Linked DNA regions of Saccharomyces cerevisiae S288C. Changing the gene in region 2 together with the main gene of any one other region gives a genetic interaction. Each region holds a gene or a part of one and is shown on either strand. Other genes may lie near its edges.

What was found.
Region 1: mutations in CUZ1 (region 2) and COS6 together harm fitness more than expected from each alone (negative genetic interaction), as found in Saccharomyces cerevisiae (one large-scale study listed by BioGRID).

Annotation. Positions count from the first base shown.
Region 1 is NC_001139.9:1,078,968-1,087,168, forward strand, and holds COS6 (Cos6p), read right to left. Parts: upstream 3,763-8,201; coding exon 2,617-3,762; downstream 1-2,616. Other genes in the region: seripauperin PAU12, read left to right, coding at 1,339-1,701; YRF1-3 (Y' element ATP-dependent helicase protein 1 copy 3), read left to right, coding at 5,897-5,915, 6,064-8,201.
Region 2 is NC_001146.8:335,786-343,840, reverse strand, and holds CUZ1 (Cuz1p), read right to left. Parts: upstream 1,326-8,055; coding exon 501-1,325; downstream 1-500. Other genes in the region: serine/threonine protein kinase YCK2, read left to right, coding at 1-205; YNL155C-A (uncharacterized protein), read left to right, coding at 1,706-1,930; NSG2 (Nsg2p), read left to right, coding at 1,873-2,772; IGO1 (phosphatase regulator), read right to left, coding at 2,983-3,489; PGA1 (Pga1p), read right to left, coding at 3,633-4,229; ASI2 (Asi2p), read left to right, coding at 4,494-5,363; YGP1 (Ygp1p), read right to left, coding at 6,232-7,296. UniProt on the Saccharomyces cerevisiae protein: Promotes efficient arsenite-induced clearance of stress granules (SGs). May have a role in the ubiquitin-proteasome system (UPS) protecting cells from metalloid-induced proteotoxicity.

The DNA of each region.
Region 1 (8,201 bases), on a different chromosome or scaffold from region 2:
GCCTTCAGATGAACTAAACCAATCATCTGTCCATAATTCCTCTGCTTTAGACAGTGTTATTAAGCAAAAGAAAATAAGCGCATAAGATTCTTGCTACTTCAGTAACTCCACAACATTAACACCCCACAATCAATATCTAAAAGCCAATGAAGTGAAGATGAGAGGTGGAATGACGGTCTTATCCTTTGAGAAGTTTGACTACTAAAATCTGTGTCTCCTATACCATTAGTTATTGAGCTATAACTATATACCAGAGAAGTGTAGTAATTCTTCAGCAACGGGCCTATAATCTGGATACGTATGATTACTTATCGCTGTAATAGTTGTAAATTCCTCGAAGAAAAACACATGACCAGAATGATAGACATATTGAAACAGTGAATAAAAGGGAGAAAAAGGCTTAAAGGATTTCTGTATTAGTAACACTAAGCCCTCTATCAATTTCATCCAAACAGAAAGACTGCAGGTACATCCATAGGATAGAAGTTCTGTATGTAATCCGCCACTTTTTGTCTCCTTCATGTACCATATAATGAATAGAAAAACGTAGACCTAGGCGGCAACCGTTGCCTACCATACGAAGCGCTGATGCTGTTCTCCGATTATTAGTATTACAAAAAAAATTATACAATACTTATTAAGATGTTAACTTATCAATTTCCGGTATAGTTTCCGCTATGGTCAGCTTTGTCCAGTGGAAGTTCCGCTGTTTCAGAACTAGAGCTTCGTAGCACCTCGAATGCTCATTTATTCTTGTCAACATTTTTGCTGGCAGTGTATAAGACTGTAGACACCTACAATATACGACTCCGGTATTCGATAAGTCTTTCACTTTCTATTTTAAGAAAAACAGAATCTACAATTTTCCCGTAGCAACCGTTTAGCGCACAAAGATTAGATGGCCTCTGAACGAGGGTTCAAAGCAAATTTGGTTTTAGCTTTTTCTTGGCCAAAAGCTGCAGCTGCATCTCTGAAGGCACCCTAAAGGGATTCTTCGGAAGTATGTACACTGTGAGAAAACATTCTTGTGCCTTGGAAATGCAATAAAAAGGTATAGGCACTATGAAGCGTGCGCCTCGTATACGGGACCTATGAAAGACGCATCGTTCAAGTACAGAAGCACCGTAATAATATGAATAATGAATGTGGGATGAACATTGTACACTGAGGCATTTTAGGTGAGAGATGGGTGCCAGATGATAACTCGTTTGTGCCAGGGAAGTTGGCAAGACATTCATATAAATAGAGCTGCTGTAGCTATCCATCTTTGAGGTATGCGCTTTCATTTCACTATTTCTTGTTAAGCTTACATCAGCACTAAAAAACAAAACAAATACAATGGTCAAACTAACTTCAATCGCTGCTGGTGTTGCCGCCATCGCTGCTACTGCTTCCGCAACCACCACTCTAGCTCAATCTGACGAAAGAGTCAACTTGGTTGAATTGGGTGTCTACGTCTCTGATATCAGAGCTCACTTGGCCCAATACTACTCTTTCCAAGCCGCTCATCCAACTGAAACCTACCCAGTTGAAATCGCTGAAGCCGTTTTCAACTACGGTGACTTCACCACCATGTTGACTGGTATTGCCCCAGACCAAGTGACCAGAATGATCACCGGTGTTCCATGGTACTCCAGCAGATTAAAGCCAGCCATCTCCAGTGCTCTATCCAAGGACGGTATCTACACTATCGCAAACTAGAGACAAACGCCTTTACGAACGAAATTCCATAAACCTTAAGAAATAACGAAAATAAAAAAAGCTTTTTTTTTTTGATAGTATAAATAGTTCATTATATGTAAGTGTATATTAATATTGTTACTACTGGTCAATCGTGATATTTATGAACAACTTGGCGGAGCAAGGACAAGAATCCTCTCTTCCTTTTGTGGTATTCTTCGATGTGTGTCCACTTCAACGACATGGGTCATCAATATCTATGTTGAAAAAATCATATTTTAGGATCACTTGCTAGTAAACCGGTTGATGCTATTGTTAATATATAACGACAAATGTTCAAGCAATTATATAACCATTTTCTTCCATATTCACCTTAAACGAGGTCGCCTTTATTTTTTTTTTTTTTTTCAGGGCATCGATCGGCCCGGAGTCGTCGCCTTCAAATGTGTCAAATTTTTAAGATTAAAGTTATCGATCTTGAAGTTTTTCGTGGCAGGAGGGTTTCTATTTAGTGTTCGGTAAAGGCTTTCATAAGCTTTTGTATATCCCTTGATTAACAATAAATGTGGAAAATAAGAAGGGTAATTTGTGAAAGAGTCCGATTCTAGTCGATGTACAGTAAAATCACTTATTATTTAAGGATTCCGCTGCGGTATGCGTTTTCTACTGATGCGTGGAGCAAGCCACGCCATGTGATTAACCTTGCTTGATAAAAGCACCAACCCATCGTTCAGAATATGCATGGAATATAGCATCACTGGGAGGAGAAAGACAATAAGTTTTGCGCATATGGTAGGATGGTGGCACACTGATTTCTGTCAACCAGTGAGAAATAGGGAAAAAGAAAATGGTTGTAATGGTAAAAAGTAGTCTCGTTTTGGTTATTCGCAGCTGACAAACTACAAAATATATAAATTGAAAAAGTTGTATTTATCTTTACGCTAAGGACTCCTCACTGCAGGATAATTGCGCTTCTTTAATATATGGCCATAGTTCCACATTCAATGATAGAGCCCGCATAGATTTCTTTGCAGAGAGAACGCGGTAGAAGAAGTGGCTAAAAAACCATTCACAGTCAATCCCGTCAAAGAAAAACTCTTCATTCTTCCAGACTTTTTTCTCAAACAAGTACCTATTCATTTTCTTTGCAATTTCGTCCCATCCATTTGCACCACTTTCTTGCTCATTTATAATAGTCGATAAAAACTGCATCTTGTGTTCCATTTTCACGGATAAAACGATCATCCTCATATTCCGGAAATCTCTCGTCATGATAAAAAACAGCACCACAAGAAACAAGGGACGTGCTATAGTGCCATCATTTCGTGAAATGAAGACATTATGCAAATAAAAAAGGAAGAGTGGTAAACACCGCCGGTTGAAAATCCTTTTGAGAACCCAGGTAAGCTTAAATCGGTAAGCTTCCTTGGGAAGTTTAGCATCTTCCAGGCCAACAGGGCTCCATGATTTCTCAGAATTAAACAACTTCCATTGTTTTTCAACTTCTGTAAAATAAACTTCCAATGCTTCTTCAATGTAAGGGACGGAATCCTTAAATGACTTAACCTTGGCAGCTTCGTCTTTTTTCAAAGAGAAGGGTTCGAGAAGGGTTGTTCTGAATGCTTCTTGGCAGCTCATGGCACTGAAAAAAAAGTACTTGGTATTCCAAGCCTTATTTTCATAGAAGTACGAATTTAGATTTGCTGCAACGACTTCCCAATCATGAGGATCCGAACTTGGTGTGTTTTTAGTAATCTCTTTGCAAAACTGAGTGAGTTGTTTCGATAAGGAACGTTTACGAGAAAGTCTAAAAATAACAAGAACAAATACTGGTCCCCAAAACAGGACAAGAAGTGAAACCATAAGCGGGTAAATCCAATTGTTGGAAAGTTTCCACCAGACGCTAAGTGGTAGCCATAATAGCATCCAGATGCGAAACACTAAGGACTTGTAAATTTCATAACAAAACCAGGTAAAGCTGCTTCTGAAAAGATCTTGAGGTAGAACAGTCTTTTGGGATTCGAGCTGTTTGACGGATAATACATCTACACTCTTCTCATTTTTAAGTTCATTCTCTTTCATTTTCGGTAGTGAGATGGCAGTTCGAGGGGTTTTTTATTCAAAATAATAACTTCTGGCTTTTCGCTTTTATATAGCAGAAAAAAAAGCCGTCGAGGCGCGCGCGTTCATGCAATGGCTCAGTAACCTCGGGATAGAAAAAGGGCAACAATGTTGAGCTATTTTAGGCACAGAAACTTTACTATTCGAAAAGGGCATCCATTTCATTTCCGATTTTCTATCTAGCTCACTCGATAATCGTAATAGTACTTTTATAAAACTTTAGTGCGGGTACTGTGAGAGTGTGCCGTAACTTTGGTTTACATTTAAGGTGCGACCAGCAATGTCACTACTTTTACAACAACCGCCATATGGCTCGAGAATTTCATTATCACATGGAATGCCTGTGACAAAACTGTGTAAATATCTAATAGAAATTAGATGTAGCTGTCACAAATATTTACACAGGAAAGAGCCTGTCCTACGAGTATCTTACATGAAGATTCATAGAACCAATTTACTTGCGAATGTGAACAACCTTTCAACATCATTTCAATACCATTTTCCCTCCTTATGTTTGGTGTCACTGTAAAGCGGATCAAAGCAAAACATAGAGGTACGGTGGTGCTAAGATCATGCATGACCTCTGGGTAATTACTACTTCTCCCGCTTGTTTTGAGATTCTGTATATAAATATTTCAAACAAAAGGATAGAGCGCGGATGGCAGGCCTTATAGTAAAAGTTATTCGTTTTAATCATGTGTCAGTATGAGATTCTATGACAATAGTATGAGAAGATAGGGTGAAGTAAAAGTATCTGTATGACTATAGAGTGCAGTTATATTACAATATATTGAATAGATCATAATGGTATGACGATATTAAGGAACATTTAAGTTAATGACGTCATGGTGGTATAGATACGCAATTGAGTGTGTTTATGTATTATTGTTGAAAAGTAGAATATTTTTATGTTTAGGTGATTTTGATGATATTTTTATGTAATATTGACATAAGTGCATATAAATTGAGTGGTTAGTATATGGTGCAAAAGTGGTACAACATATGTATTAAGGGCATTTATACAATATTTGGGGCCGCCGAATGAGATATAGATATTAAAATGTGGATAATCATGGGATTTATGGGTAAATGGCACAGGGTATAGAACGCTGAGGCAAGCGCCGTGCATAATGATGTGAGTGCATCTAGTACTGATTTAGTGAGAATGGGCCATGGAGTGGAGTGTGAGAGTAGGGTAACTTGAGATGGTATATACTGTAGCATCCGTGTGCGTATGCCGTATCAGTATACAAGTGAGGGTGAGTGTGGCATGTGGTGGTGGGATTAGAGTGGCAGGGTAAGTATGTGTGTATTATTTACGATCATTTGTTAACATTTCAATATGTTGGGTAGAACAACAGTATAGTGAGTAACAAGATGGGGCATGGTAGGGTAATGGCAGGGTAAGTGGTAGTGGAGTTGAATATGGGCAATTGGAGGGTAACAGGTGGTGGATGTGGGTGAGTGGTAGTAAGTAGAGAGATGGATGGTGGTTGGGGTGTGGTATAGTTGAATGAGACAGGGTAACTTGTGGGGAGGTAGGGTAATGGAGGGTAAGTTGAGAGACAGGTTAAATCATATATATGTCACTGTATTGCATGCTGGATGGTGTTAGACAAGGCCGTAGGGACATATAGCATCTAGGAAGTAACCTTGTACGAAAATAGGCAATATTTCCTGTTTAGGCGATTGTGACGCAGATTTTAGTCCAACGATCTAGCGTCAAGGAATTTTTTTATAGTGGGACATTGCACCAAGGAAGTAACTTGATACGTCGTGGGTGAATGGGTCTGTTTTCTTATTCGGCGGGGTAATACATTTTTGGGGGAAGTTTGTCTGTCTGACGCGCCATATGTAGGTACGCCAAAAAGGGCTCCTCTACTTCGAAGCGCGAGGTCGTATACCTAATAAGGAAATGTAATTTATAACTTTCTATTATATTGGTCTTTTCGAGAGCGGAAGAAGTTGTAGGCTAAGCGCAGGCTAAGCGTAGGTCCATATTTAAAGTATCCAAGAGAATATCCACGAAGCGGCTGAGCAACGAACAGAATCCTGGTTCTCCTCGACTAAGCAGATAGTTAAGATACTGTGCACCATGGAAATTGAAAACGAACGTACGTACCGACTACTTTATTTTTGCAGGCCGGAAATCAAGCGATGAATGAGACATCCTTCTGCTTTCTATGTTGTGCTTGAAGGGGACAGACAGTCGCTTATCTTAGTGAGATTTCTTACTAACTGAATTTACTTTGCTGCTGCTAGAGATTTGCACCTGCATAGCGCAGATTCTGCATCTTCTCAATAGCTTAATTATTACATTCTTAGATGATGATAAGACGGAAACTGGACAATCTTTTGTTTATATTGATGGATTTCTTGTCAAAAAGCATAACAATCAACATACTATTGTTAATTTCGAAACTTACAAAAATAAAATGAAAGTTTCCGATAGGCGTAAGTTTGAAAAAGCAAACTTTGACGAGTTTGAGTCGGCTCTAAATAACAAAAACGACTTGGTACATTGTCCCTCAATAACTTTATTTGAATCGATCCCCACGGAAGTGCGGTCATTCTACGAAGACGAAAAGTCTGGTCTAATCAAAGTGGTAAAATTCAGAACTGGTGCAATGGATAGGAAAAGGTCTTTTGAAAAAATTGTCGTTTCCGTCATGGTCGGGAAAAATGTACAAAAGTTCCTGACGTTTGTTGAAGACGAACCAGATTTCCAGGGCGGACCAATCCCTTCAAAGTATCTTATTCCCAAGAAAATCAACTTGATGGTCTACACGTTGTTTCAAGTGCATACTTTGAAATTCAATAGAAAGGATTACGATACCCTTTCTCTTTTTTACCTCAACAGAGGATACTATAATGAGTTGAGTTTCCGTGTCCTGGAACGTTGTTACGAAATAGCGAGTGCCAGGCCGAACGACAGCTCTACGATGCGTACTTTCACTGACTTTGTTTCTGGCACACCTATTGTAAGGGGTCTTCAGAAAAGCACCATAAGGAAATATGGATACAATTTGGCACCCTACATGTTTTTGTTACTACACGTAGATGAGCTATCGATTTTTTCTGCATACCAAGCAAGTTTACCTGGCGAAAAGAAAGTCGACACAGAGCGGCTGAAGCGTGATCTATGCCCACGTAAACCCACTGAGATAAAGTACTTTTCACAGATATGTAACGATATGATGAACAAAAAGGACCGATTGGGTGATATTTTGCATATTATCTTGCGAGCATGTGCGCTCAATTTCGGGGCGGGTCCCCGTGGTGGCGCTGGTGACGAAGAGGATCGATCCATTACGAATGAAGAACCCATTATTCCCTCTGTGGACGAGCATGGCTTGAAAGTATGTAAGTTGCGCAGTCCTAACACTCCACGAAGACTCAGAAAAACACTAGATGCCGTGAAAGCTTTATTGGTGTCGTCTTGTGCTTGTACCGCAAGGGATTTAGATATATTTGATGACAACAACGGCGTTGCGATGTGGAAATGGATCAAAATTCTGTACCACGAAGTAGCGCAGGAAACCGCGCTGAAGGACTCTTATAGAATAACTTTGGTACCTTCTTCTGATGGTGTATCAGTATGTGGAAAACTGTTTAATCGCGAGTATGTCCGCGGCTTTTACTTTGCATGCAAGGCTCAGTTTGATAACCTTTGGGAAGAATTGAACGACTGCTTTTATATGCCTACAGTGGTTGATATTGCCAGCCTCATTTTGCGTAATCGAGAAGTTTTGTTCAGAGAGCCAAAGCGAGGAATTGACGAGTATCTGGAGAACGATTCTTTCCTTCAAATGATACCTGTTAAATATCGTGAAATTGTGCTGCCCAAGTTGAGAAGAGATACTAACAAAATGACCGCGGCTCTTAAAAATAAAGTCACTGTTGCAATTGACGAGCTTACGGTGCCACTTATGTGGATGATCCATTTTGCCGTAGGATACCCTTACCGTTATCCAGAGCTTCAGCTACTCGCTTTTGCCGGTCCTCAGCGCAACGTATACGTCGATGATACAACAAGACGCATCCAACTGTACACTGATTACAACAAGAACGGTTCATCGGAGCCTCGACTTAAGACGCTTGACGGACTCACTTCAGATTACGTGTTTTATTTTGTCACTGTGCTAAGGCAAATGCAAATATGTGCGCTTGGTAACAGTTATGACGCTTTTAATCATGATCCTTGGATGGATGTGGTGGGATTTGAGGATCCAGATCAAGTAACAAATCGAGACATTTCGAGGATAGTTTTGTATTCCTACATGTTTCTGAATACCGCGAAGGGCTGTCTGGTTGAATACGCAACTTTTCGGCAGTACATGAGGGAACTTCCGAAGAATGCACCTCAGAAGCTGAATTTTCGGGAGATGCGTCAGGGGTTG
Region 2 (8,055 bases):
ACAAAAATATGCTCAGCAACAACAAAAGCAAATGCAACAGAAATCCAAACAGTTTGCCAATACAGGTGCCAATGGTCAAACTAACAAGTATCCATATAATGCGCAACCAACGGCGAACGACGAACAAAACGCTAAAAACGCAGCGCAAGATAGAAATAGTAACAAATCATCGAAAGGTTTTTTCAGTAAGCTAGGATGCTGTTAGAATAGAAAACGGAGGAGGTTTTTTGTAATCATTCCCACCACCGTCCAGTGATCTTCACATTTTGTTCTAGTATTATGATTTTGATGTACATTTGATATTTTTTTATGTTTTTTATTTAAAAAGTAAGGGCGAAAATGTCTATTATTAAAAAAATATTAAGTACTTTACGTGCTTTTTAATATCGTTTTTTATTGATTATGTATCTTTAATGGGTTATTGATTTTTTTTGTTTTCTTTTTATATAGTATATACGCTTGACGTTCCGCGCGATTGTTTGTTATTTATAGTGTCCTTCTTAATTAGATTTTTCGTCGGCGTTATTGTGTACTAAATACAGAGTATCAAGATCTTTGATCTCATTAGTGACTCTTAAGGAAGCGCCAATATTATAAAATGAAACTTGTTTACCCTCTTTCAATTTGCATAGTTGAAATTTGTCATTAGAACTTGAATTAGTTAGTGTGCTAGATTTCACGTTTAGCTGGATAGACAAATAGTCCATGGCCCTACCCACAGGCCACATTTTGTTAATGTATAATGGCATTCTTGTATCCTCCTTGGCTATATCCGTCTCATCACCATCCACCAAGTAACACCAAATGTAAATCCTATTTTGCATAGGAATCTTGGGGTCACCTTTAGCAATTTTCTTGAGATTAGCCAATTGAATTATCTTATTCGACGAGGAACCGAAATTCTTTTTTGATTTGTTATTGCTCTTTCTTTTCTCATTCCTTTGGAAGAACTTAAATATTTTGTCTAATGTCTTTGAGTTCAAAGTAGAGCTCACTTTGGCAGTGTTAGAACCTCTCAAAGGCTCTCTTGTTTCACTTACTCTCTGGATTCTAACACTGGCCCTCTCAGGTAACAGACTCTTGAAATATGCTTCATCGTTAGAACTTGAGCCATCCCGGCTTTTGCTAGGACTTTTTTCAGTTTTATGAACTTCTTCATGCTCTAGCAACCACCTACAGTGGTGATCTTCCTTAAGTCTATGGTTCGAGCAGAAATCTTCATTGCAAAACGAACAATGGAAAGGTAGGAAGTCTAGTTGTCTACAATATGCACAGTGCTTTCCTACATCCAACATTCCGGTTTCTTTTTCGATAGCCGCCGACATTCTTAAATATAGCAAAAATTAGTTGATGGTCCTTTTTTTTATATCAAAATTAATGCAAGCTCTTGCAGTAGATGTACACTACAATGTGCCTATAGCTCACTGTTGTCACACTTCCGCCCTAGCTCGAGTCCTTGCTTGTACAAGCTCTTATTACATCTTTATACTCATTTGTAGAACATGCTTTTGCCACCGAAAGGAGGGTGAGGCAGTTTTATGTATATACGAACGTCGCTGGCCACGAGGGGGGAACTTTTCTTTTTATCGGCATGAGATAAAGGGTAGATACGAAATTAGCTAGACATTTAAAATATGAAAGCAAGGAAATTACTAAACTTCGAGATGTTCTTTTCCTTAAACTTCTAGTTGACAGCTCAACATTGATGATAGGGCTTATTGTAGTACCTATTTTATTTGCAATAAAGGGCATAGTAGTTGGCGTGCAAAAGGTAAAGAAAAAGTTTGGAAAGCACTCAAACACAAAGGACCAAAAAGAAGACAAGGACGAAGATAAACGACAAAGTATTTCTCAAAGAAAACAGCATACAGAATGGCCAATAGAGGAGAACCGGATCCAAAGAAGAGCACCGAATCAATCTGCTCTCTGACTAAACCGCAGCTTTATTCATTATATGATGATGACGTCGTGAGATCGGAAGATAACGAAATTTACGAAGAATTGAAACGCTCTGTCTCTATAGATTCTACCAAATATAGTAGAGATCAAACTATTGATTCGACTTTTTACTTGGCCCATAAGGTTGGCGGCTCGCTGCCAAGGAACACAGTATCTTCTAATAATTTGGAAAGGATTTTATCAGCATCATCCATTCACGAAAACTTTCCGTCAAGAACCAGACAAACTCGTCAAAATATTCTTCATTACCTGCAAGCTGTATTAATTTTGTCATTGAGCGGTTTCGCATATCATGAACTGTCCAGAAACTTGCACGATAATCATCTCTTACATCCAGATTTTGCATCGAGACCCCTTCTACTGGGTGTCAAACTTTGTAACTGGCTATCCAATGGGGTTCTGCCAAACTGGTTAGGCTACGGTGTTGAAGGACTGTTATTTGGTTCTGTTGTACCAATTCTGGATAATATTTTTCAAACAGAGGTTGTTAAGAGCTCTGTCCACCATGACAGTTTGACCTCTGTTATTAGAAGTATCAATGCCATGTTGGGAGTCACATTTGGGATCAGGAAAATACAGTGGAACTCCTCTTTGCAGGCGGCAGGGGCATGGGGGCTTCTGAATATTATACTGTGGTTGTTTTTTGACGGCTCAATATCCATGTTAATGAGCTGCATCTGCATTGGGGTGGGTTGTTGTATCTCTTGCTACAAAGATATTATCGACGGTTCCCAATTTTTATATTTCATGGATTTTTATTTCCTTGGTTCTCTAATGTTTGGAAAACTAGGAAGATATCTATATTCTCATTAAAGTCGAAATTCTGACGAGTAAATATTATTAATTAGAAGTACAAGAAGATAACATCAGAATGGCTTATCGTTTATATATAACTAATTAACGTAAACACAGTCAGCCATATGGCTGTAACACTTGACATTTCGAGAAATCACATAATAAGCGTTAAATATAAGAGACCCTTCTCTTTCCCTAAAAAAATATAAAAAAGTACAGGTTGTCTATTTATCTAATGGGTGATTCAGTATACAAACTGGACGACGAAGAGCTGTGGTTCCCCACTGGCGTTGAACTTGTACTACCACCTCCAATAGTACCGTTATTAGACGATGGTGGTCCACTCGATATACTTCCCTCCTTTTGTATCAACGTCGCATTATCTACTACACCAGCGGTTGAGGCAGTTGACGGACAAGTGCTTATCCTTCTTTTTATTATATCTTCTCGTAGTTTGCTGGGATTTGTTAATGGCAGGTTATTCTTTCCATAGTTTATTGGATCATTGTTTTGAATGCCAGCTTTCTGCAAAGCGTAATCACCACTGTCGAAATATTTTCTTTTCTGCATGGTATGCTTAAAAATATCTTTCTTTGATGGCAGCTTTCCGTACATTTTGTATAGCTTCATTTCGTTGGGCGAGAATTTGCTGGTATCAATAGTTCCGCTTTCGCCGTTATTCAGTTTAGTTAAATCTGGGTTACTACTATTGGGAGATAAGTTTTCATTCGACATAGCGGCGAGTTAGATATTCAGGTCCCTTTCTTTCGATAAAAATACCCACTTTAATGAGAAGCATTTGATGGTTAATGGACTTTTTTACGTTCTAGTTGTGATGAGGCCAAGCTATCCAGCCAAAGGGGGCTCAGGCTTCCATACTAAAATTTCAGCAAAAGATCGTTCAATACGTGTGGTGCCCGGGTAACAACAAGCCCTGCTACTAATAGCACCATAACGATTAATGTTGGGTAAATATCCACGGGGATACCTAGCCGAGTGGTGATTAATGAGACTTGTATTGGAACCATGGCATGCTCACTAGGATACGAGTCAGACAAGACCTGGAAAGTCACTAGTATTCTCGCGTAGTCTGACTTAGTTCCCTGAAATTCAGTGAAACGTGGTATTGTGATAGTTTGGAGATTATTAATGGAAATTGGATGTATTGCTGACCAACACACTTTAATCTGATATGTTTCGTCTCGCTGTAAGTCCGCCAGTTCAATATACGTAGTATTATGCAACTCCAAGTCAGTGGTATTGGCCTCGATAGTGATCTGACTCATTGCTTCTCCCGATAGTGATATGGAAGATATCAAGTTTACATCTCTTGCATAAGTAGAGCTGTCTCTTGGTTTTTTGAGGGGAAAGTTGTGAGGAACCTTATATAAGATTGATTCTGTATTAGCGTGTACAAATCCGATGAAAAATACAATTGTAGCGATAAACCAGTGAACATTCTGAGGCCGGACCATCTTCTTTTTAAAAATTGAACGAACCTATGTTGGCTTAGTGTGTGCGAATACCAAGGGTCAACAACATTGCTGTGCAGTTAATCTTCATATTCATGTAAACTTCTCATTTTTTCATTGCATATTAGTTTCCGTCATTGATGATCTTTTATAACAATAGTGAGAGGAAACAACTCCCTCTACCTTCAAATAGGGTCGATTCGGGAATATGATTAAAGAGACACCGAATCAAACGCATACATCCTCACAAGCATTTAGTGAGAAAAAATGGCGAGGCCTCAAAATCATCGCCGCAGTAATTGGACAGAAAGAGACGATAATGATGATTATCTGTTTCAGCGATTTCTAGAAGAATCGGAAACGAGGCATAGTAGAGAGCCTTCACCTGTAACCGAGCAATCTCAGCAAGAACTACAGCAGGATGTACAGCAAGCAATCGATGGAATATTTAACTCCCTTAGGAGGAATATGAGTTCTACTTCAAATATAAATAGAGCAGCTAATATGGATGCAACCACAAACGGAAATGGAGGAATCAATGCAGACACTATAAGAGCCACCAACGCCAATACGGCCGATTCCCCATTCACAGCAAGGCAGCAGAGCCCTCTCAGAACTTTTCTTAGAAATTTATTCATTTTAGATTACTTTATTGGGCTAATTTTATTCCCATTTTCCGTATACAACATATTAAGGAGCGGGTTCAATTCAATGACCTTTTCAGAGAATGATTTTATAATCGAAATCGTGGGATACTGGAAATTTGCCAAGATATTTGGTTCTGGTGGCACGACATTAATAGCATATAAGGATACTGGTAAATTAGGGTTGCTTGGAAAGTTTCATAACATCATTGTATTTTACTCTTCACCTGTGATAAAACATATTATGAAAAGTAGAGATGGCAATGAACCCAACTTAAATTGGATAAGACTAATGTTCGCTAAAGCTTTCGAGCTATTTGTCAAAGTCTCTACCATTCTGATCTATTTAGCTTATGGCGTAAGTGGTACCGTTTACATGGTTACCGCTGGGTTTTTCTTCGTATTGTGTCTATTATTCACTGTTATTAGAAGATATAAAGGTGTCCATCGAATGTTGGTGAGCCAAAGGATTACAGGGCCAGGCGTATTCTGATGATGAATCCACGATTATAATTTGTGTATTTGCTTATCTGTAGTAGTTTCTTTCGCATGTGGTCGCTGTATGAGACACTTGACACCAGAGGACGTTTATTTTGAAGCAACTCCTCTATGTAAGAGCTGTTTGCAAGCTTTCCGTACTGTGACACTTGACCATCATAACGTATATTAACGAACTACTAGGGTTGTTGTGGGCTTCTTTCAAAATGGGAATTGTTAAAAACTATTGATAAACGCCACTCACTACATGCATTGATTGTAAGATTTAACTATCCTTTTTACCTGATGTCTCGAAAATAAGCGTTTACAACAACTACTATTTTGCCGTTCTAGTTTAAAACATGGACGCTATAAAACACTAAATATATCAGAAGATTTCACTTAGACACAAAAGAAGGGGGTGAGATCCCTTATCTGTAGTAAAATGTATACAAATTATACGGACATTGTTTCTTTATTGTATCCATGTATACATGTGGGGTCTTGACACTTACAGGTAGTGAATGCTAGACCTTCGAGACTTAAGGTGAGCAATGTTTTAAAACTTTTCTTTTTTTCCCACTTCAGTGGAGTGTCACCCCGGGAAGATATTCACCTATGGTCAATGTAGCAAAAGATAATAAAAAAATATGTATGGCCAAGAATTTATATGATTCTTTCATCAATTAATTAATTAATTATTTGGGGTATGTCTTAAATAACAATAAAAAGGTGTATAAAACAATCATACTGCTTTAATGGGAAGTATGGTTCCTATTACGAACGAAAATAAAAGCTGTTGCGTGGAAATTTTGTAAAATAATGGTTATGATGACTGGTAAAAAAAGAATCTCTATGCTTCGCTAGATTTAATATCTATCAGTTCATGGGAAAATGCTTTCCAGAGCGGACTTGGAGGTGACACCATTAACGGCAGCAATGGACAACAAGATTTGGGCCTTAATTGGGGATAGGTAACCAGCACCCACAGCGTTCTTTGGAACATCTTTGTTGTCAATAAAGTTTAATGGAGTGTTAGCTTGAGCATATACGACTGGGATTTCAGTGCTTTCAATAGTAGATGAGGTTGAGTTGGTAGAACCAGAAGAAACAACAACCAAACCTTGAACGGCAGAACTCAAGGAGTCAATCAAACTGGAAGAGTAACCACCGTCATAGACAATTGGAACAATTGGAACACCGTTTTCTAATAGACCATAAGGAGTAGTGAAGTTACTGTATTCCTTTCTGATAATCGAGTCAGAAGAGATTAAAGTTGGCTTAGAAGCATCGAAGAACCATTTAACTTCGTCTTGGTCATCAACGATAGCAACAGGCAAACCAGCACCGTAAGAACAAGCAGTAGGTGGAGTGAAGACACCGGAGTACACTAATTTGTCAGAAGTGACGGACAAGACACCACGTTTGGTAGCGTTCTTATTGTTAGCGACTGGAATGGCATAAGCGGAATCTTCAGTGACAACAATAGGCTTTTCGGTGTCAAAAATGATAGAGAAGAAGAATGAGACAGCTTCCAAAGATTTGGCGTTGGCAACAACAACGGCACCGGCGGATGACTTATCTTGGATCGTTTCGTTAACAACACGGGCAACATTGTACAATTCGGTAATGTTCAAAGCAGAAGAACTGTTGAATAATCTGGTGTAGTTTGTGTGGGTCAAAGAACTGTTGGTGATTGGTACTTGACCACCTGTTACAATGATTTGTAATTGACTGCTTTCGGCAGTAGTAGTATTGGTAGTACTGTTTGTTCCATTAGCGTAGGTAACATTGCTAGAGTTAGACCCATTCCAGGCCGGCAAAGTGGAGTTGATATTCTTACTGTGAGATGCCTTAACAGCCCTGTATTTGAATAGGTTTTCGATTGGGCTTGCGACGACGGCAGATGAACATGCCAAAAGGGCAGATAAAACAACTTGGAACTTCATTTTCTATTACTGTATTACTTAACTGACGATTAATCCTGTAGATGTTTTTTGAGCTGATTTTTTACAAGCAAGAAAGAAATAGAAGGGATATTCAATAAGAGCAATAACCCAAGAGAACACAGCAGAAGTTCTAGCAAATGTCACCCTCTATCAAGCTTTTTATATTTCAGAGATGATGGTTTTTTTAGTGAGGTACTTTTTTCTCCCTTTTTCCTAATTATTACTAATAGGGTAAAAGAGATATAATAGGCGCTTTCTTTCTTCAAAGTATCGATGTTGAACTGTAGCATCGAGAAGCCGGCTTCACTCCCTACTGAGATTCTTCGGAGTTTGAAGATGCAATAGAGTACGAATATATCCCTTTTCAGCTCCTGAGCCTCTCCATTAGGAAAAGTATAAACTTTCGTCAACTTCTGCGCTAATTTTCGGCCCCTTCTTCGAGAAGTTTCGATTCGTAAAGGGTAAACTATTTAGACAGTGTACCCTTTTTGGGCTCATGTGTCTCTTGGACACATAACATGTCCACATAACATGCCCCGATTGGGTAAAAGTGAGAGACTTTTTCGCCCGCCGGATCTTCCGCGGATGACGAGAAAACTTCGCAAAAAAAAAAGTCACAAAAAAGTCACATAATAAACCAACGAATGGCCGATGTTTTACGGGTAAGCAAAAGTTTCGACGGTGAGAAAAAAACTCATGTGTCTTCAATCCCACATCAAGGCCCCTTCCTCTGGAAAGAGATCCCAATTAGGGATACCC